Kluyveromyces lactis: one gene and its partner. The protein of the gene in region 1 purifies or fractionates together with the protein of each later gene. This does not show direct contact. Links are inferred from orthologs where the notes say so. Each region holds a gene or a part of one and is shown on either strand. Other genes may lie near its edges. The genes, in order: IMP21 and KLLA0_E15555g.

Region 1 (10,775 bases):
GTCACCGCGCCAAAAAGGACTGTCGTTCAACGTTTGATTAGGTATTCAATTTAAGAGTGAATTCCTCAAGTTTTCGACAGATTTATCAGATTTAAGTCTCTTCTCCAATATAAGAAAGAATTCGTATCCTTTAAGTATGTCCTAAATTTCGACTTCGATTTCGATTTCAACTTTATTAATTTTTTTTTAGGAAATTAATTTGAAAAACTTCCGAGCTCTCTCGATTTGTGTACCAAAACTTTCACGGTTTGAAGTATTTCAGTATTGGAGCGAAAAAAAAAAAAAAAAAGATCGGATGTCTTTGATATATGGAAAGGGAAAGCTCTGATTCAATAATCTGGGGAAAGAATTGAGCCAAGAAGCAGGTAGATTTGAAAGTAACAGCAATCGAGGCATGATGGTTCCTGTTTATATATCATAAGTGTTTATGAAAATCGCAATTGTGGTTATGTATTATTACTCATATCCTCTCAACAAAAGAAAGCTACATAGATCTTGCACAGAGTGTGTCATATTAGCGTTACGGCGATGAATTCAAACCAGAAGAATCGGTAACAGTTTCCTTATTTCCCTTTCACTCCAGGCATCTCGAATATTTTCTCTCAAGTCTATATTATTTGATTTGCCTTTCAAGAGCTAGTGGCAAAGTTCAAGTCCAGGTAGCAAGTGGTATGGTATTTAGTGATTTTCCATTGCTCCTTCAACCATCGATTCCTTTCAGGCGCACAGAATCAGGTAGGTAGCCCTTTCATTGATACCTCCACGCGCGTATTACAGGCAAGCTCAGTTTAAAAAAAGCAGAGATTGTTCGAGGAAGTTTTTGTCTGGGGTTGATGGGTTTTGTTTTGCGCTGGTTTTGTGTTTTGCGCTTGGTTTTCTTTGTGGAGAAATTTTAGGCACTGGAGAATCTACCGTAACTGATGGTAACCTCCGATGGCTAGAGTTACTTCCCCGATGGTATGGAGAGATGCTCTGCTTGGATTATCTCCGGTGCTGCTATTCCTGTATCGGAACAACTCTGGAACAATTTTGGACAGTTCGGAGGGGCGGTACTGGGGCATTTCTCATTTATTGCTTATAGCATAAAGACAAGAAAATGCATTCAAGGTGCAATGATTTACCTCAGCGTGTTTGTTTAAGTTTCACCAAGCAATGCATACAGTTGTATAGTTTGCGATTGGTAGGCTATATTTTTACTATGTACCGCGTAATAGGCAAGTCGTAGGGGAATACTTGAATGTTTCGATTCTGTATAATGGTTTTTTATATCCTTGTGGTATAAGGCAAAAATAGGAAAAATAGCCACGATAGGAAGAGATGTGTGTGTACGTCCAGGTGTTCATGAAAGAAAGTTGCCAGCTTGATTTATTGCAAGCTCGTCAATTTTAGTGGATCGAATGTTTTTAGCGATTGAACCCCATGCAAACAAACAGTAGGAAAATCTCTCAGTACGCTGAAGTGAATGAGGGGTACCAAACTTTAAATTCTTGATGAAAGGAAAGACTACGGTATATGACATTACCCGGCCAATAACTCACTCTTGCGCGCTAATCCGAGCTTGCTGCATGTCATCCGATATCTCCCGAGATACACACTTGGTGAAAATTGGACAAGTAAATGTCTCGTCTCCATCTCCATGCCTTTTTTTTTAAATTAGTGTTTTCACAATCTTCGGATCCTGCTATTGGCTTTCCCCACAAATTTTGGTTATGTTGCTGCTCCTTCTCTTCAGTCAATAGATGAACGAATTTCGTCCTAATTACCCTGTATGTTTGCCTTAATTTTTTCGTTCAGCAGCAGTAGCATTTGTTATTTCGTTTCATATTGACAATGGCGTTTTTACTGATCACGTGTATTAAGTTTTAGTTTACGTTTATATATGTGTGTATAGTAACGGCTATATGCTTGTTGAAGTAGTGCATATCAGTCAGCTATCCCTCTACGCTTTGATCTCTTCAATTTCTTCCGAATCACAAGCATCGGTACTGAAGTTATGAAATTTTGTAATGATGCCAACACCGTTTGCAACGGAATAATAATCGACGATGGCTGCAAGGAATGTGCCATCTCAGTGAGTAATTGTTTCGGATATGGATGGTACATTGAACATATTAGGACGTCAATTTTGTCCAAGGTTCCAACTCCATTGGTGCATTCGAATAAATAATCTATGTGATCGCAAATTCGATTCATTTGAAATAGCATATCGTTGGTATCGTCGTCACATTGGTTTATGATGTACAAAGTGTCCCCATTAGTGAAAACAGAACCGAAAGAGTAAACTAAGGCGTATATTTTCTCAGCAAAAGATTCATCCATTTGATCCAAGTAAACAACGAACGAGTGGCCTTTCTCGCTCGTTGCGGCGGTAATATTGTCTCCTTTGCTCATATGATAGACAGCTCTATGTATTCCGTGTTGAATTTCTTCCAATTTGATATCTCTTTTGTCTGCTTCTGTTTTAATCTCAGCATTCTTCGCTAGCCATGGCTTCATAGAGTCGAGTACTTGGGTAATTGGTGTAACAAAGTTCGGTAAAACTTTACAACCTAAATCATAATCAATGTGTTCATCAATTTCTATTTCATTCTCTACATCACTCACTTGTTCCTCCTCACTGACCTCACCATCGTCTTCTCTATCTTCTATGAATTCCTCTTCATCTTCATCTTCATCCTCGTCACCACCATTTTCTTGTCCTGGAGATACGCTATCTCTAGTGTTTCCTTTTTTGGCCTTCAAATGTAACCTTTCTGAAGGGTCCTTATTCAATATTGTCCACTTCAGGTAGGCTTGGTCCTTTATACTTACTCGACTCGCAGACCTTGATATCGATCTGCTTGATGATATGCCGGTATCTCTTGTCTTACTCCGGGACCTACCTCTTTGCTCTGGTTCCTCTATCTTTATAGTTGGAAACGCTGGAGGCGCAGCCAGATGCTTATCATCAGTTAGTTTCTTATTCAAAATACCTCTTCCAGGTTCTTCCATGTCTAAATATGTTCAATGGCTCACTTGTAGTATACTTTGTCTGCGACCGGAGATTGAAGCTAAGTTGATAGTTATTTCAATGATGTTGGATTAAATATTCGTCCTGTGAATTCAGTAGAATAGTATTAGCTGTGATACAAAAAGTTAAAATTATTTCACAGGTACAAGCTAGTGTCGCGGATAAAGAAAGTAAATGTGTGACTGGTGACTTGTATTAGGAATCTTTTCTCTGGTGTGAAAACATAGCAGTATAATCGTTTTTCAAGGTTATTTTGGCTTTTTATTTTTATCATATGTTTTCATATCACTTCACAATTTCAGTGCCTGTACTGCGAACGCTTAAAAAAAGTTAGAATTCTACAGACTGAAATGCTAAGAAAGGATATGAAATAGCAGTTTCTCTTGTAACTTTTGGGGAGGCGATCTTGAAAACTAATACCTTCCTTGTAGGACGTATCAAATATTGCATTCTAATTATTCTCCCGCACATATTTCAAGCTGCAAATATTAAATCGAGAGTTGTTATGATATAACGGTGATAAATAAGGGATAAGAAACTAAGAGATGGACTTTGATTATGAGAACGCCAAGTTCTCAATGCCAGAGAAAAGAATATTCGATAGTCAGGGTACCCTTGACTTCCAGAATTCAGTCGCAATGGTTAGAATACAATATCACTTGCAGAAGTATATTACGCTTTGTAAGGGCCAGCAGATACCAGATACAATCAAAGAAAGTTTTTTCACTAATATCGTAGTGGAACTACTCAAAAGGCTGTCTGCCTTGATAGACGAGACACCTCCTGAGAGAATGCATAGTAGATATGGAAACCTTTCATACAGAGATTGGCAAACGAAGTTTCAAAACCAATTGGAGAATTGGTTGCATGAGTTATTGCCCGAAAAGTACAACAACAGCATCATAGAACTTTCATATTACATATCTAATGCATTTGGATCGAAGGAAAGAATTGACTATGGAACTGGTCATGAATTGTCCTTTTTAGCTGTGATAATTTGTTTGGATATGCTAAAAATTGAAACAATAAAGGGGCCGGCGCTACTTTATTGTTTCAATTCATATTACGACGTGATTCAGAAACTAATCTTAACCTATAAATTGGAACCTGCTGGGTCTCATGGCGTTTGGGGGCTAGATGATCATTTTCATTTCTCATACATTTTAGGAGCCACTCAATTGTTAGATGTGAATACTTCTTTAATACCAAAGGATATTTCTAATACTAGATTGATGGAACAAAACAGCTCTAGCAATCTATTTTGCAAATCAATACGATTCATTAATGTCGTAAAATCGGGCCCATTTTCCAATCATTCTCCTCTACTCTACAACATATCAAGGAGTGTTCATACATGGCACAAGATGCAACAGGGTTTGATTAAAATGTACAAGGTAGAAGTTTTAAATAAGTTTCCAGTCGTGCAGCACTTTTGGTTCGGAACCGCATTTTTCCCATGGACGAGTTATGGTAACAATCACTCTTTGCCAATATATCAGCCTGCAGAAAATAACGACGATGCTGATTTTTTGACTGCAAACAATGCTACTACGAAAATGCCTCCACCTTTGAGTACAAGCACATCTAGGTTTATACACAGACGTTAACACAGCATATATGGGATGAGATTAAAGATCTATTTAACCTGCTTTTATTCTTCGCTTAAGGATGATATTAATGATTTAATTCCTCCCATAAATAAATAGTATATCCAGATTAAAAGATACTAAAGCGTATGTATGTACTATAACCATATTGATAAAGGCTGTTAGTGATAAATTAAAAAGGACGAAAGTAATAGAAAAACGAATGAGAAAAACCCCAAGATATCTGTAGAATTTTCTTGTTATATATGTAGTCGAGAAAAAGATAGTTTCTAAATGCAAGAATCAAATAATCCGAGCCAATGGTATGTGTATTATTGTTAGTTGGTTTTTTATGAATCTCAGAATTTTATATTAATAATAATGAACCGGCTACGGTTGAGATAGTCTGGTTGAAGGTAACGGAAAAAGTGAAACTATGTTGAAGAGAAAATATTACTCAATAATATTTCACTCTGCCTCTTTTCGTTATTTTGGTATAGCACTTCTGTTGAGGACATTGTGATTATAATTGCGGACCAGCAGCTAAGACTTGTTCGGTAGCCTTATCTTGGTAGGTCTTGAAGTTTTCTACAAACAAATTAGCCAATGACTTGACATTTGAAGTGTACTTAGCTTCACCTTCAGCCCAGTTCTTACTTGGATTTAGTAGAGAAGCTGGAACCTTGTCACCCACAGCCTTTGGAATTTGCAAGTTGAAGATTGGCAAAACTTCATACTCTTCCTTAGCCAAAGAGCCATCGTGGATGGCATCTAGGATAGCTCTGGTGTACTTCAAAGGACAACGCTTACCACCAGCAACGTAAGAGGAACCAGTCCAACCAGTGTTGATTAACCAAGCGTTAGCGTTATGTTCGGCCATCTTTTCAGCCAACATTGTAGCATATTTCATTGGATGTAGAGACAAGAATGGTTGACCGAAACAAGAGGAGAAAGTTGCTTCTGGTTCAGTGACACCTTGTTCAGTACCAGCCATCTTGGAAGTGTAACCAGAGATGAAGTGGTACATAACTTGGTCAGGGGTCAACTTGGATACTGGAGGCAAAACACCTGAAGCGTCACAAGTCAACAGGACAATGTTCTTTGGATGGTGATCAGCTAGACATGGGATTTTAGCACTTGGGATGTATTCGATTGGGTAAGCGCATCTAGTGTTTTCTGTGATTGTAGAATCTTCGTAATCAACTTCTCTAGTGTTAGGATCGTAAATGATGTTTTCCAAAACAGAACCGAACTTGATAGCGTTGAAAATTTCTGGTTCCTTCTCGGCAGACAATCCCAAACACTTAGCGTAACAGCCACCTTCAATGTTGAAAACACCATGATCGGACCAACAGTGTTCATCGTCACCGATCAACAGTCTATGAGGATCAGCGGACAAGGTAGTCTTACCAGTACCACTCAAACCGAAGAACAAAGTAACGTCATTATCTTGAATACCTTGGTTGGCACTAGAATGTAAGGTGAGGACATTGTGATTTACAGGCATCAAGTAGAACATCACAGTGAAAATACCCTTCTTCATTTCACCAGCGTATTCGGTACCCAAGATGACCATTTCCATTTGCTTGAAGTTAATTTCCACAGTAGTCTTAGAAGTCATACCGGAGGTATGTGTGTTAGCAGGGAATTGACCAGCATTCCAGACGGTGAAGTCAGGTTCACCGAAATTTTCTAGTTCTTCCTTTGATGGTCTGATCAACATGTTCGTCATGAATAAGGCATGGTAAGCTCTAGCACAAACCACTCTGACCTTGATTCTGTAACGAGGATCCCAGCCAGCATAAGCATCAACAATGTAAATGTGATCCCTAGTTCTCAAGTAATCAGCAGCTCTTTCTCTGTTAATTTCCCAAGTTCTTTCGGAACATGGCTTATTTACTGGACCCCACCAAACGTTATCCTTTGAAGTTTCTTCTTCAACGATACGCTTATCACGTGGAGATCTTCCGGTCTTATCACCAGAGTAGGCAATCAAGGCACCAGCATTGGAAATGGCTGTGTCTCTTTCTTTTAAAGCATCTTCATATAACAAAGCAGCTGGAGCATTACGTCTGATGGTGACGACTTCTGCAGAAAGGCCAAGCTCAGCCCTAATATTCTCTTCAGCAGAATTTTGTGTCTTAGTTGGTGACATTATTTGATAATAGGTTTTATTTTCTTTCTTTTTAGTCGCGCTAGAGGAAAAGTCGATAACACGGTTAATTGAGTATTCTTAAATGGAGAAGAGTCAATTTATCGTATAGTATGAATTTTGGCTTTACTATTAAAGTGCTTTCAATGTGTAGAATCACTGAATTTTGGGTTTACTTTTATTGCAATACAACTGAGATAATATATAGCTACTATTGTACCTTATCAACACTTGAAATGTATCCATCAAACTAAATCATGAAAAACCATCGCCCTTATATATGATCATAAAAGATGAATATTAATCAATTCACGATATGACAGGACGAGAATAAATAATTGCACTTAATTACTAGATGGATAATTGATGTTCCAGCGAGTTATCTGACTCATTCTAGGCGATTTCAGTAAACAAGAGTCCCTTTCTCCCTTGGTTCGGTATCGATATAACTACGTTTTCTTTGATATCTATCTATGTGTCTGTTCGTTTCAAAATAAAATGTCCTGAAATGTCCTGAATGTCTATGTTTTATGTTTTTCGTTTGTCCGTTCCGTTGTTTGTCCCAGCGTGGAATTTGATTAAAACTAATTAACACACAAGGCAAGAACAAAAAAAATTGGGGACTTTTCAGTCTATACGGCACTTTCTCTAAATTTTTTTGTATTCAATAAGACCGGGATGTACAGACCAGTACTTGGATTGTTGGGAATAACGCCCAATTGCTCGAAAAATAGTTCCGAAAGATGTACGTTTCAACATTGAGTGTGGTGTGAAAGGAAAAACCTTGCCAGCCAAGTTCATGTCTGGCACTCGAAAATTTTTCCTTTCCCCCCTGTTGTTCTTTTGGTTCACAGGATGTAAGTAGGAGAAGGGGGACAAATTTTGGCAATTTGTTGTACCGCTCCGCTCCCGGGATGCCTCTGGGTAGATAGCGTGTGGGGCAAGAGGATACTGGAAAAAAACAAAATTTACTTCCCGGGTTGATATTGAAATGTGATGTACGGGTGATATTCCCGGGCATCTGCTCACTTCCTGCAAACCTTCGTAGCTTTATTTTTTTCGATTTTCATTTTACTTTCTACGTTCTTCATTGATTTCGGGTTCCCCGGTCGATCGCGTGGGGAATCGACATGCTAGTGTACAGCCGTATATGGTGGACCGGGGAAAGAGAATGGAACGGAGTTGGTGGCGTATAATGATTATATAATCAAGATTAAGTGGTTTCTTCGAGCGTTTCAGTGTCATTGGACTCCGAAGCCCGGGCTCATCTACAAACTCAAATAAAAGGACATTTCTGGAAGAGGGACAAAGAAGCTTGTTAATACCATCCATACGTACTTAGGTAATTTTATCGGTTGTAACCTTTCCCTTCCCGGGGTTGAGATGAGCATGTCCGAGAGTCTTCTCTTGGTACATTACCTGCTTGTCCCTCTATCTGTCCAGTTTTACTATATTCCGTAATAGACAATGCTCAGGCGATCGGATCATACCGGCAACCCAATTTTTTAATTTTCTTTTTTTGTATACCCCAGATTTATTTCTTCACCCAGTACTTCGCGGCCGTAGAAACTAACAGCGCTCTGTGAATTCTCTCTGCTCCGGCATTGGCGGGTACTTTTTCGGTTGACACATTAAATGGCTTAGGACGCGTATTAGCTTGTGGTTTGGCAATCGTTCTCGATTACCTCACCAAAATACAAAAACCAAAACCGAATATTAGGATCTTCAGTTAGTTTTGGACCCTAAGTATGATCACGTGATCATGATTGATTATATAAAAAATTGCCCCACCCTTTGCCGTACCGATTATCAAACCATTGGATCCTTATTTTTCCTGAGGTTCCCAATTGTCGAAAATGAAAAGTAAAGGAAAGAAAAAACAAGGACAAAAAATAGAGTCTAAACAAAAGGGTAAAGTCACGCATCATAGGCATGAAGTTTCAGACATCACCGACATATTTTCTGACACCCACCAAAGATTTCACTCACAATGACAGATACCAAAGGAAGGACGAAAATAGGAGAGGTGTCTGAGTTGGTGGACGCATGGTTTGGCAAAAAGAGAAAATTGCTCTATGCACACAAGAAATGCAACGCATCCAATATCGGCGGTAAAGGATCTATTAACAAATTAATTCAAACTTCAAAATCTGTCGTCCGGGCTAGAGCCTCTAAAAGGCAGAAAACATATACTGCTCCAATGGCTGCTAGCATTATCCCTAAAGCAGATTTCTCGAACGATATCTCACATTCACCTAGAACAGTTCAAGCAATTGTTTTTGATTCTTCCACAAAGATAAGGCTAATGAAAGAACATCACTCAGATGCCGATTGGCTTAGGTTGGTAGTACGACAGCATCACAAGCTTAATGACAAACTAACCTTGTTAAAGACCGATCATCCAAAATTCAGCACTGTCATATTGCAGGGGCTCTGTTCGTCGAATGTGCATCATGTGCTCTGCCATGATGTTTCTTTTTTTTCATTATATCGAGGCGTGTTTTGGTGTTTAAACTGGAAATTAGGGTAAAAATATGTAAAAGCTATTCGAAAAGTCACACTTTTTTAGCAGAAGACGATACCACCAAAAGGAAATGTCGATAGGTTGTTGCTTTACTTAAAACTAGTTTAATTAGTACATACACCAGTTTCTCGCCCAAGTTCTCTACATATTGCGAATACAAATCTTGTGCTGAAAGTGCGTATCCCTAACTGCTGAGCCTTATTTCTCATATTAAAGTCATCGGTAACTAGACTGACAAAATTAAATCTCTGAGTACTTTGTCCATCTTCAGATAGAGGTATGCAGTCCTTACCTTTTTCTATTGCATCATTGTTTAAAACATTAAACTTATCTTGTGCTTTGGCTATGGCATCAATGACAAACTCGTCAACATGGGATTTCCACGTCATCTGCTCTTCGATCTCCAAGTGCTCTTCAAGATGCCCTGCTACATTACCCGTAAATCTTAGGGCAAGTAGTTTACGCTCGTAATATAGCTGCCTAACAGCAATCACTGCTCTAGTTGCAGCTTCGAGCACACTTTCATCTTTTGATTTACGGAGAAATCTCAATTCTTGGAAGGTAGTCAAACATATGGCAAATTTCAAAACACTACTTGTGGCCAGCTTGTAAATATGAGCAAAATGCCTCAACCAAGTGGTTGCATCTAGCACAAAGAATGTCACATTGGTGTCAGCTTGACAATTCAAATTCCCCAAAAAACTTCTATTGAGTAATTCTCTCTGTCTAAAATCCGGGTTCATGAAGGCCTCCAACCATGGTTGCTCGAGTTTATCGATGGCAGATGAATATTCCAACCTATCTTGCACTACGAGCCTGCCGTTATCTAGAATTTTGTTTGCATTAAAGTCATCACCACCTTGAATATTCGCAGTTTCTAATGGGCCTTTGGTATATAAGGAAGCTGTTATCAAATCACCATTTTTATTGAAACAGAAGTAGTCCGGATACATTAATTTGAATCCTTGCAAATTCTCGATAGATACACCAGGAATCATCGATTTGGAGCCGTCCTGTAAGTTGTCACTGCAGTTTAAATTGGATATAATTTCAAATTTTTCAAATGGGAAACTCTCATTCTCTTCTGGATAGAGTTCTACTGATAATTGATCGTTAGTGTCATCATTAAATCTAAACACTAAATTCTTCCAGCTTGTTGCTTCTGGATTCAACTTTTTACAACCATGACCATATCCATCACAAGCTTCCCACTCAGTAATGATGTTGAATAGTAACAGAGTTCGGCATATTCTTTGCCAATATTTACGTCCAAATTCGTCATCATCATCGAAACAAATACCTTCAGTTGGGGAATCCAAAAACAGAGTATCTGATAGACCTGTACTTTCTAAGGTGGTGACATCGAGGTCAGATTTTTTACTGATGGTGTTGAACCATAAAGAACCCCAACAGCTCCAGCATTCTGGTAGATTTTCATTTTCACAAATGCTTGTTAATAACTCCTCTCTGTTCATTGGCAAGTAAGTCGACATATGTGCATCA
Region 2 (11,330 bases), on another chromosome or scaffold:
AAAAAATAGCAGAGTGTTTCAAAACTAACAACTTCTTACCTGATTAAAAGGATTCGGTGGTGTATTAAGACAAATTCTGGGATTGTTGATGAACCAAATGCTGTCAAAACTCGGTCTCTTCTCTCTCTTTCTCTGTATCTATACTGATTGAAGAGTTTGAATTTTTCAAATTTTTCACAATTTAGGCTTTCACTCTATGTAAAGGAAACAAAAGCGCAATAAACTGGACCTGAAATCTGGGTGAAGAAGCAACGACTTAGCCGGAGGAAAAACGGTTCTTGCCTTGCTGAATGATACCGGATAACTATAAACTAATCTGAATATTCAGCTACTGTTATATAATTATCTAAAATTGGATACTGAACCCAGGAAGGGTATCAAGATATATTCTCCGTTTATACATCAATTTTTCATCATTACAATATATTCTCTTTCTCTAATGATGCAACGGAAAATTGACAAATGACCAATAAATGGGCGACTCATCTGGCACCAATCGAAAAGAAATACACGATGACTGACTTAATTAATTTAACCGGTACAGTACCCAGCCATGTGATACCTAAATTTGATGCCTTGGCTCGAATAAAGGAACTTAAGCCATACGAGTGAACAGGGCAGCTTTCGCTGCCCTGTTCACTACTAAATTGCCTGTTCAAATTGGCTTTGCCCTTTGGCAATGACAGATTCTATTTCTTTTTCTTCCTTTAACTACTGGCATATTGAGTTAAGAAACACCTGGGAATGATCTCCGGGTAACGCGGAAAAAAAACCCACCTCTTGCTGCACCCCTTTTTTCATTGTCCACACTGTGCTTTGCCCGATTTTGCGGGTGTCGCACGACGACGGAGTTTATTTCCGCCGTTTCAGGCAAGGGAAGAGCTGAAACGGCTGAGTGACGGGTGGCGGCCGGGTAAGGAAAGAAAATACACTGATTACATAATACCATCCACGTGACGTAGTCACGTGGATGGTATTATGTAATCTCAGAGTTGAATGTCCGAAAGCATTCTTTTTTTTTTTTCTTCCTTCCTTTTCCTTTTCCCCCGGGGTTTAAAAATTCCGTTCCGTCCCGACCGGCATTCATTATGCAACTAATCGTCTTTTAGATTATCAAAATGTCAAATGATTATTCCATTTCGACCGAACTACCGCCTCTCCACTTGCTTACGTACTGTTTTTGGGTTCCCTCATCTAATAGCTTCCTCAATCGGCTAGAAGTGCCAGTACTGGTCTTCAGAAGTCCATAGAAAGCCTCACTGTTACCCGGGGGGTTTGCGCATCTGTCGCTCTTTCACTTTTTTTTTTTTTATTCACTTCCATTCCACATCTTTCAACCGTTAGTGGTCTGAACTTGTTTCATTTCTTTATTCATAATTTCTTTCTTTCGTCCAGGTTCTGCATTTATTATATATATATATATATATGTATATAAATAAAGTTTGTACATTGCTTGTTTCGATGATTTGCGGACTAGTTGTCTTATGTCTGTTGCTCGAGGAGACTACCACCAACCAAGAAATATAATACCATGTCAGTGTGTCAAACGAATCCTTTGAACACTCTTGTTTCGAAGTCTGGTTATAGGTTCGGACAGCCGAATCAGCACCAACAGAGCATCGCACAGCAGCAGAGCAGACCAAGAAATAATGCACTAGACCACCAGTTCTCTCAGTTTACTGGTGCCTCGGGTCCCAGTTTCGCTCATCCACAGCATCAACAGCTGCCTATGGCAGCTGTTGTTGCTAACGCTACTACTGCAGCCAGTACTACTAGTAATACTGCTACAGCCTCTGATCACCATGTTTGGATCGATCAGTTCGCAAACATGCAGGTGCACGACAAGACCGAGTTCCCAACAGATTATAAACAGATGTATTCGCAGTACGAGGCGCGTGGCGCCTCGTACTCCATGGGTGCACCGGTGATGGTGTCCCATTCACAAATGTTCCCGCGTCATCAGCAATCTCTGATGGTGAACCAACTCGAGTCACAAGCGTATGCCAGTAGTAGCGCGAAGCTCGATGAACAATTTGCTGAACTGGAAAGACAAGTGCAAGACGATGAAAAAGAACAGCAACAGGACAAGGATGACGATTTCCATCTCAAAGAAACGTCTCCTCTAGACGAAGATCAACGCCAATTAAAAGAAGCAGCCCAATCCATTTACACAACTCTTTCAGATAAATCATCTACAACTAGTTCGAAATTTTCGAACTCCAAGTTCCTTGGACTCATGAGAAATATCAGCGATGGTGTAATAACTCTGAAAAAGAACCCAGATGAGGATAAATATACGGAATTATATTCTCCTTCTACCGGTGAAACTTTTGGCGAAGAGTATTTCCCAGTGCAGGATAGTGTTTTAGGCGACCCCTTGGACTCCATTGGTGACTTATCTAATATGAGTTCATCGGAAGCCGCTGCAAAAGTGTACCATAACTCCGTTTGAAAAAAAAAAAATAAAATGGTATTACTAAGTATGAGTGGAGGGGTATTTCTCTGTTGTCAGATCTACTGTTATTTTGTCGATACATATTGAGTTAGAGTTACTCTACACTCACGTGGAAAATCACCTGGCAGGATCACCATATTCTACTTACTTCCCAATATTAGATTAACTTAGCTAAAGCTTAGTTCCAAAAATAATCTTATTTAATGACTATAATGATACATTTCAATCTCTTTTGCTTGAGTTGATGATTCTGCCTTTCTTGTGCCGTAATCTTCCATATTGGTAGCAAGACCAGTCGCTATCGTGCCTATAGACCCATCAGCATCTTCTTCCTCTGTTGCTAGTAACCCAAGCCCGTTTTTAAACTCATTTACTAAGGACCAAATCGCACTTCCCGCATTGTCGTCACCTTTTGGCTTGCCCTCTGATTGATTTTCAGTTGCACTGGATCCCGAGTCGCCTAATCCTAACTTCGTTTCAACGGTCCCCTGAATAATTTGGTCAAATTGGTTGAGTAATGAAACGGATTTTGTCCATAACGAGCTTGATTTGTTATCAGCGGTTTCTGCGTTGTTACTTTCCCCATGGGATTCTGCAGGTAATGTCGTATTAGAGTTCTGACCTTGAACTTGATTCCCCACTAAACGGCTAACTTTTTTCTTCAACTGCTGAAGTTCTTCTGCATTCTGTTTTATTATCTTATCTTCAATCTTAATTTGCCTGAAAAGATCGTGAACTCGCCTTGTCCTTTCCAATATCTCTAGTTCCTTGTTCGCCAGTGATTGCAACAAAGATTCCATATCATTATCATCTTCAGAAACAGATGGCACTACTTTGGCGGTGTCGGTCGTAGTTGTAGGCAACTTCAATTTAGTAGCTGGACTTGCGCTAAATTCTGTGGTGGCTCCATCCGGGAGAAGTGATCCAATGCTACTTATGCTGGACCGCACAGATTTTTGTCCGTCATTTCGGTCAAGTTTTGATCGATATTTCCGTCCCAGCGGGGTATTCGATACAGACTCTGATGGTTTGCAATGCTGCTGATATGATTGACGTTGCTGCTGCTTAACTGTGTGCTCTGGAGACATTAATGGCATTATTAAAGACTTTCTTTTCCATGTGTTGCTTCTTCGTATTCCTAGCTCCTGATTGCCTCCCTTGCCATTTGTAGCAGCAGAAACCCCGTTACCATTGTTCTTTACGGTGACTTTACCGGACCCCAATGATACATCGTCCTCGTTCTCCTTCATATTGCCAGTGATATCGTCTTGATCTGAATTATCACCTTTCAACGGATGCGAGTCAAGTGTGCTAGTAGGATCAGCCTTGGTAGGCGTTAATTGCAACTGGATGTTCTTGTTTCTACCGGAACTCCCCACAGACTTGGGACTCATACCGCTGGATCCTTGGTTAAATGTAGGGGTAACGCTCCCTCTGTCCGTAACTTCATGATATATTTTACTCTTAGTATCAATATCGTTCTCTTTGTCTTGAAGGTCTATAAATTTCTCCAATACGTCTCTATCCATTGTTTATACCCAAACCGTACACATAAAGATCTAATTTGATTCAAGCCTAGCTTCTTACTACGGTCAGATCAGCCTTTTTACCCTTATCCTTAACTTGTACACTAAAATCAAGCCCCAAAGTTACTGATTGAAATGATAATTTCAGTCTTTCACAGAATTTCGTGTTGTTATGAAAATGAAACAGTGTAAACTTGAAGTTACCAGAAATAGTTCAGACGGCTGCAACTTTTTGCAGTGCGTAACAGCTTGAGGTTCCCAGCAGTGGCTTTATTACACCAGTTAGTGGAATCAAATACTTTGCATATCACATATCTGATTTATCACTTGCTAAGGAACTGGTATTGCGTATTTAGACGGTTACAAACACAAGAATGGCTCCATTCAAATTTGGAAAGAAACAGAAGAATCGGAAAGATGCTTCTGCATCTCCAAATACAACACCTAATTCTAACAGCACTATTGGTAACACTAGCTTTCAACAAGAATTGAGATCTCCTGGATCTAGTTCTACACCTACCAAACAGAACTATCCAAAACCAGCTGCAGATTCTGGGTTACTTGCGGCTCAACAACGCGTTATGGTCAGTCCTGTTGAGCAACGATCTACGTCCACTCAGAGTACCCTACAGCAGCAGGTGTTCACGCCATGGAATAGAATTAGACTAAAGCAGTCCCCTTTCCCCAGATATAGGCATGTTGCCAGCTCATATGCTACTGACAGTGGAGAATTGTTTGTAATCGGAGGTTTGCACGACCAATCGGTTTATGGAGATACATGGATAATCAAGTCACTGGACAACGCTACAAGTTTCAAGTCTATTACAGTTCCCATTGCAGATGCTACTCCACCTCCTAGAGTCGGTCATGCCTCCACACTGTGTGGGAACGCATTCGTGATTTTTGGTGGTGACACTCATAAAGTGAATGATGCCGGTTTGATGGACGATGACATATATTTGTTCAATATCAACTCTCACAAATGGACCATACCAACACCTCAAGGACCTAGACCACTTGGTAGATACGGTCACAAAATCAGTATAATTGCTGCGAACCAAATGAAAACCAAACTTTATGTGTTTGGTGGTCAGTTTGATGATACCTATTTTAATGATTTAGCAGAGTTTGACCTCTCATCTTTCCGGAGATCTGATTCTCACTGGGAATTTATTAAACCGGCAACTTTCATGCCACCACCCTTGGCTAACCACACGATGATCTCGTTTGATCATAAGTTGTGGGTATTTGGTGGTGATACTCCTCAAGGTTTAACTAACGAAGTCTTTATGTTTGATCCAGCTGCCAATGATTGGTGTGTAGTGCAGACTACAGGAAACATCCCACCGCCATTACAAGAGCATGCTGCTATCATATACCGCGATTTAATGTGTGTTTTTGGTGGGAAGGATGCGCAGGACAATTATTCAAACGCCGTGTATTTCTTAAACTTCAGGAGTCTAAAATGGTTCAAACTACCAACTTTTAATAATATGATTCCAAGAGCAAGATCCGGACACTCTCTCACTCTGTTATCAAATAATAAACTGCTAATCATGGGTGGTGACAAGTTTGATTATGCTGTTGGTAACAGCACCGATGTACGCACTTCTGATGTCGACATGGGAGCCGGTACCATTATTTACACTTTGGACCTAACAAACTTGAATGAGTTTTGTCCTGACATCTTTAAGATCGATGATGTTGATCACCTGGACAAATTTAGTACGCCATTATCGAAATCCAATGGAAGATTTGATGAATTGAAAAACAAACAAGCTTCAATTCTATCACCAGATGTACCAGAAACGGTGAACACAACTCCTGCAGTTAGAAAACGCTCTGAGTCCGGCGTCCTCGGACCTACTGCTCCTAAACCAAAATCACCAGTTCCACAACAAGATGCCAATACAGATCCTCCAAGAGTATTGTCCTTGCAGTCTCAGTTAAGTTCAGAGACGCAAAGTGACACTGATCCTGATGTTGGGTCTGTAGAAGTTGTTCAGTATAGAACTTCGCCGACAAAAGGTGATGTAAAAAAATACGCTGTTGGAACCAACTTGAGATCCTCATCGGACTATGAAAATTATTCACCATCTATCATGCATAACACAGGTGCTGAGCCTTCGCCTAAACCTAACTCCTTGTCAGATACGACGCACTTCGATAAATCCATAGATGTAATAACTGACGCTGATAAAAGCCCTGTCACTTTAAGTGAACCTGCTCGTATTGTTTCTGAAAAGAATGAAAACAACATTCTGAAAGAATTACTTGAAGAGTTGAAGCAATTGAAGGAGGATACTGTGACCAGTGCTACTAGTGCAAACAGCAGAATAATGGAATTGGAACTAGAAAATACAGAATTAAAGCAATTGAACCAATTAAGTCACTTGAATGACATGATTAAGCACCAAACAGAAGTAATTGCCAAGCTACAATCAGAAGTCGATAATAAGGAGAAATATGTGGATTTGGAATCAAAGTATATCGTATTATCTGAGAAATATGAGTCTCTCACGAAAGAACTCGATTCGAAGAAACAGTTCATCAATGAAAACATAAAAAAATGTAGTGAATCGTTGGACACTTTGCTCGATGGCATGAGACAGAAACAAAAAGCTCACGAAACAGTTGTAACCAGGCATAAAGAAACAATGACCGGTCTTGATCGCAAGTTAAGCGAAGTAATTCTTCAAAATAAAGAACTGACTACATCCAGGGACCAGTTGTTCACAGAATACTCCAAATTGAAGGATGAGCATGCCTCAAAACATGAAGAACTGACCAAGATGGAAAGAGAGTACAGGTCAGTTATTGACTCTGTTCACAATTCTGGGAATGCGATGGAAAAGCTGCAGAATGAAATTATCAAACTAAGACAAGAAAATTCAAGACTTAAATCGGATTTAGAGAATACGATTAACCAGGAAGCAGATGATTCGTCCGGTTCTTTGAATGATGCTCATTATCAATTAAAGATAAACGACCTTCGCGCAGAATTATTCATTATCAAACAGGAACGTGATTCGCTAAAAGACGATGTCATGACTCTCAAAAAGAAACTACTTCATTCTGAAGCAACACTATAGACTCTTAATAATATCAACCGTGTAAAATAGAATGTATTGTTTAGATATATATATTTTCAACTATTTTAATTTGTTTTATATTCATTACAAACAACTATTCACTGATACTCCGTGATATATATGTTTTATCTGCTATACTGTACATCAGTCGAAATTATGAAATGTCAATGCATGTTTTTGTCAATCGTGGGAACTGGATAAAATGACAGGTGGCGGACTACTTTGAGTTGTCATATGAATTTCGCTATCCAAAATGGAAGTCTGCAGAGTCTCACTCTGAAGAATGGAGCACTGAGATACTGGTGGCACTGCATCATCCGTCTCTAATATTGATCCTCTTGATATTTCTGTTTGAGCTGAAATGATTGAGGCCCGACTAGCTGGTACGGAAAACTTCGGCGGCAAATTCCAATATGGTATTCTGTGCTCTTTTACAGCTGGTTTCTTCGAATAAGAAGGCAACAAGGATGATGCGGGTCGCTTCTTCTCACAAGCTAAAATATCTGCTTCTTTTTCATTAAAGTTTGCCTTGTCCAGACGTATGACATCTGTGTTCCAGCCATAAAATTCGCGTAGGCTTGATGGAATCCTAAATCTCTCACAAAATTCAGTTACCGTTACGATATCATCCATGAGGCCCTTTATCACACGACAATTATGATTACTGATAGTTCATTCAATTATGAACGTTTTGGAAATTTATTTCGGCTTAAACGTGTGTTAGCCGCTGATAATCTGTCCAGTGAACTTAACCATGCCTGCTTTCTCCTATTGGTAAAACCATGACGGTACTTAATTCCGGGTAATAAAATTCTTCCTCAAAAAAAATACTCCGAACCACGTGATAGCCCCAAAAGAGGAAATGGTTGTATGAACAGCTTTTCAATTCTCAGCAATTCGGATGATTCTATTGAAATTAAAGCACTACGAGGTTTTTCTGTCGGGATTATTTTTCATTTCGAAGTAATCATTGTTGAACCCTTGAATTAAGTGCGAAATTATACACATGTAAAACAATATGACAAGGCAGTGACATTCTTGCGGTAAACGTACTTTGATTGTCTTTGGCTCAACAGCCAATGATTAGAACTTACTAGCAAAGATAACGTGAAAATGCTTTAGAACTGGTTTTTAGAAGAGAAACACGGGTTTCTTTTGTAAATGAACTCGGTTAATTCTTATTATCGAAAGCTGATGTCCAAAGTACGGTCTAGGGTCGTTCTTTGGCATGTACTATCTTCCTTTTTTTTTCTTTTTTTTTTTCCAAGTGTTCAATTTCTAAAGTCGGCTGAAGAAATATCGACTCAGGGAAAAGCTAGGATATGGAAGCAGACCATACAAAAATATCTAGAAATGATGAGTGTGGGTTTTTTTCTCTTGTGTTAAGCATGCGGAAGATTTTAGAATTTGGATCCCTTGTACAAAGCACTATTTGATATCTTGATGCAAGGTAAATTTATTTTCTCTATTTGTCTGAGTTAGGCTGAGCTTATTAGGGATAAGGTGCAGAGAAAGTATAAGAAGAGATTCATATCTAGCAAACATTTGGATAAGGTCGCCAATTGCTCACCGGAGTTCAGAAACCTGTTTTTTGGAATCCTACAATATAAAATTACAGTGTGTCTGTTAAACAAATTCATTGAATTTTTGACTTCAGAACCCCTACCTTTGGACTACCCATATTAAGATCACACGCTAAACCGAATTCTTTCCATCTAAGTGATGTATATTAAACATGTGTCTTTTCAGGATCTATCGCCGTCGTTGATAGACGATCAGGCACGGTCTTTGAAAGAATCCAATAAACCGATAACGTACAATAACCCGTTCATTCATGTTCCACCGCAGTTCAATCCATTATATAGTGATCCAAGTGTGCGAGAGGGTTCTCAGAGTGAGAGTGTTTCGAACGATAGTGGAGTGCACGATTTCAGCATGAAAAGGCCACAATTATCTACAGACCTGGGTTTCTGTTCTTCTCAACAAGACGTTGGACTAAGAAATATGCTAGGACCCACTTTATCGAATGACAATTCAGAGTATGGTTCTATGAATGGGCTCCGTAGAAGTAAGACCGGTATGTCTTCTGTCTCTAGTGCGAGTACCTCGTTGACCAGAGCTGCTACTTCGTCATCTGCTAAGTTACCACCTCCTCCAGCAGTGTCCATATTGAAGCGGGATTCACTTGATGATCTGCATCGTGAACATTCACCTGATGGGATTGACTTGACAGTAATTGATCCTCAAATGGAGAAAAGAATTGAAAAGGTAACCACGTCAAATACTCTGGAAAATGCAGGCAACAAATACGGATCGGGATACACTACGTCGGCATTTGCAAATTTAAACGAATTAGAGGATAAATTGATAAAGAAACAGGAGAAAAAAGCGGAACCAGAGAAAAGGAAGAAGTCTTACATGGATATGACAGATGAAGAATTAGCTCAGTTGGAAAAACAGCTTCGGTCTGGTGGGAGGGAAACCAATACAGATTTGAACAGTTTTGATTTCAGTCAACAGTATAAGCTATACATCGGAAACACCGTTGTTAAACCTTCTCCCAGTAGCAAGTCGTCCGGAGCTGGTGGAAAACCCTCTGATATGACATTAAATTATCCATCACGCCCATCAATAACACATAAGGCCATTTCAATTACAAAGGAACATACAGACTACAGGAAGCGTTATACGGATACGAATACTAGGACAGTTGTTTGTTTTTTGAACGGTAGGAGACATACTTGGGCAACTGTTGATTGGTTCATCAAAGAAGCTGCTAGAGATGGTGACCATTTGGTTGTTGCAACCAATCTACCAATGTATGAAGAGTTGATTAACATGTTGAAAAAGAATGAATCTTCCGAAACTGGAAGCACTAAAACAAAGTTGGAAGAATTCACGTTCGATGGTAAAATTAAAAACAAAACACCAAGTGCAGTTGTACAGTTACCATTCCGCCAAGTGGGTATGATAATCAACGAATTGGATCAACTTACAAGATATAAATGTGAAAATATGTTAAACTACTATGCAGCGAAATGTCAGGACAAGGTTATGAAAATAACTATAGAATTGGTGAAAGAACTGTCCGCAAAACCGCTTGTCACACATGTTATGGATCTTTACAGGCCAAATTTCCATGTTGTTTCCACAATTTCGACTAACTTAAGCATCAAGTTCAGGAATGGGAACGTTAAATTGCCCAATTTCCTTTATAGACATCTTTGGGTTCCTACTGTTATAATTCCCTTTGAGTTTATCGATCCATATCATCTTGGTGAAGCCAAGAAACCGATGCATAAGACTGTTTCGATTTCCACAAAAGATGATCAATTTGCATTCCTCGATAGATGTATCATCAAATCCCTGAACGATGTTTTGGGTACTAGCTCTAAGAATGACCACACACCTAGGGGCATTGAAGACGTTTATGAACATGGAAATGACGATATGGTTAGTATAGACAGTGAGGCAGATAAAGGAATTACAGACTATTTCCCCACGTCGCCCGAAGCGCAACGGAGGAAGCAACACATAGAAAGATTGGGATACGTTCCACCAGAGCCAACTAGGTTCAAGAATAACAGTTTTGGTCCAGTAGCTTCCAGAAACTCGACTATGAGTAGTAGACGGTCATCTAGAGTTTATTTTGCCGATGAGCCAGGAATGTATAAAGTGAAATCATTATTGGGAGGCGATGACGATTCTTCGAGCATAGTTAGAAGAGTCAAGAGCGAGAAACTGCCATCCGTCTCCAGCCCAAAACGGCCTTCTACATCATACTCGTATAGTGCAAAAGTACATCCGACCTCTACAACAAACGGGAAAGGAACAAATAGAAAATCCAATTCTGGACTGAAGACTGCTACAAGTGGAAAATCATCGATCTCATCAGCACACCAATTACATTCCGCTACAAATGGTTCAAGTGCAAGCGCTCAAACTCAAACCAAATCAAAATCAAAATCCAAGCTTGGTGGCATGTTCAGGAAAATGTTTGGCGTCAAGAGCAACGCTGCCTAACCAGAAATACAAACACAAACACTAAAAAAAAATTAATCACCTGTTGCGCCTTTTAACTCCATCTGCCTTGACAACATTCGAACCTTACTACTATTAATTACCAAGTCTACAAGCAGCAAGATGCAGACGGATAAAAAGATTGAATATCAACCAAAAATAACACGAGTAAATAGATACATATCGTCAGTATTTTTCAACATAGAAAAGACGCGGCCTCCATCCCATATTCGAACG

The links.
Region 2: the proteins of IMP21 (region 1) and KLLA0_E15555g purify together in Saccharomyces cerevisiae (affinity purification with mass spectrometry; 3 studies listed by BioGRID). This does not show direct contact. The link is inferred for Kluyveromyces lactis from reciprocal best matches to the Saccharomyces cerevisiae genes IMP21 and YGR237C.

Annotation. Positions count from the first base shown.
Region 1 is NC_006037.1:35,211-45,985, forward strand, and holds IMP21 (Imp21p), read right to left. Parts: upstream 2,992-10,775; coding exon 1,924-2,991; downstream 1-1,923. Other genes in the region: peptidylprolyl isomerase RRD1, read left to right, coding at 3,556-4,617; phosphoenolpyruvate carboxykinase PCK1, read right to left, coding at 5,120-6,751; KLLA0_A00506g (uncharacterized protein), read left to right, coding at 8,739-9,278; KLLA0_A00528g (uncharacterized protein), read right to left, coding at 9,377-10,775. UniProt on the Saccharomyces cerevisiae protein: Controls the nucleo-mitochondrial dependence of galactose, maltose and raffinose utilization. Becomes essential in the absence of functioning mitochondria.
Region 2 is NC_006041.1:1,384,271-1,395,600, forward strand, and holds KLLA0_E15555g (uncharacterized protein), read left to right. Parts: upstream 1-8,795; coding exon 8,796-11,096; downstream 11,097-11,330. Other genes in the region: PEX21 (Pex21p), read left to right, coding at 1,532-2,452; TDA11 (Tda11p), read right to left, coding at 2,656-3,984; KLLA0_E15511g (uncharacterized protein), read left to right, coding at 4,356-7,073; KLLA0_E15533g (uncharacterized protein), read right to left, coding at 7,254-7,706.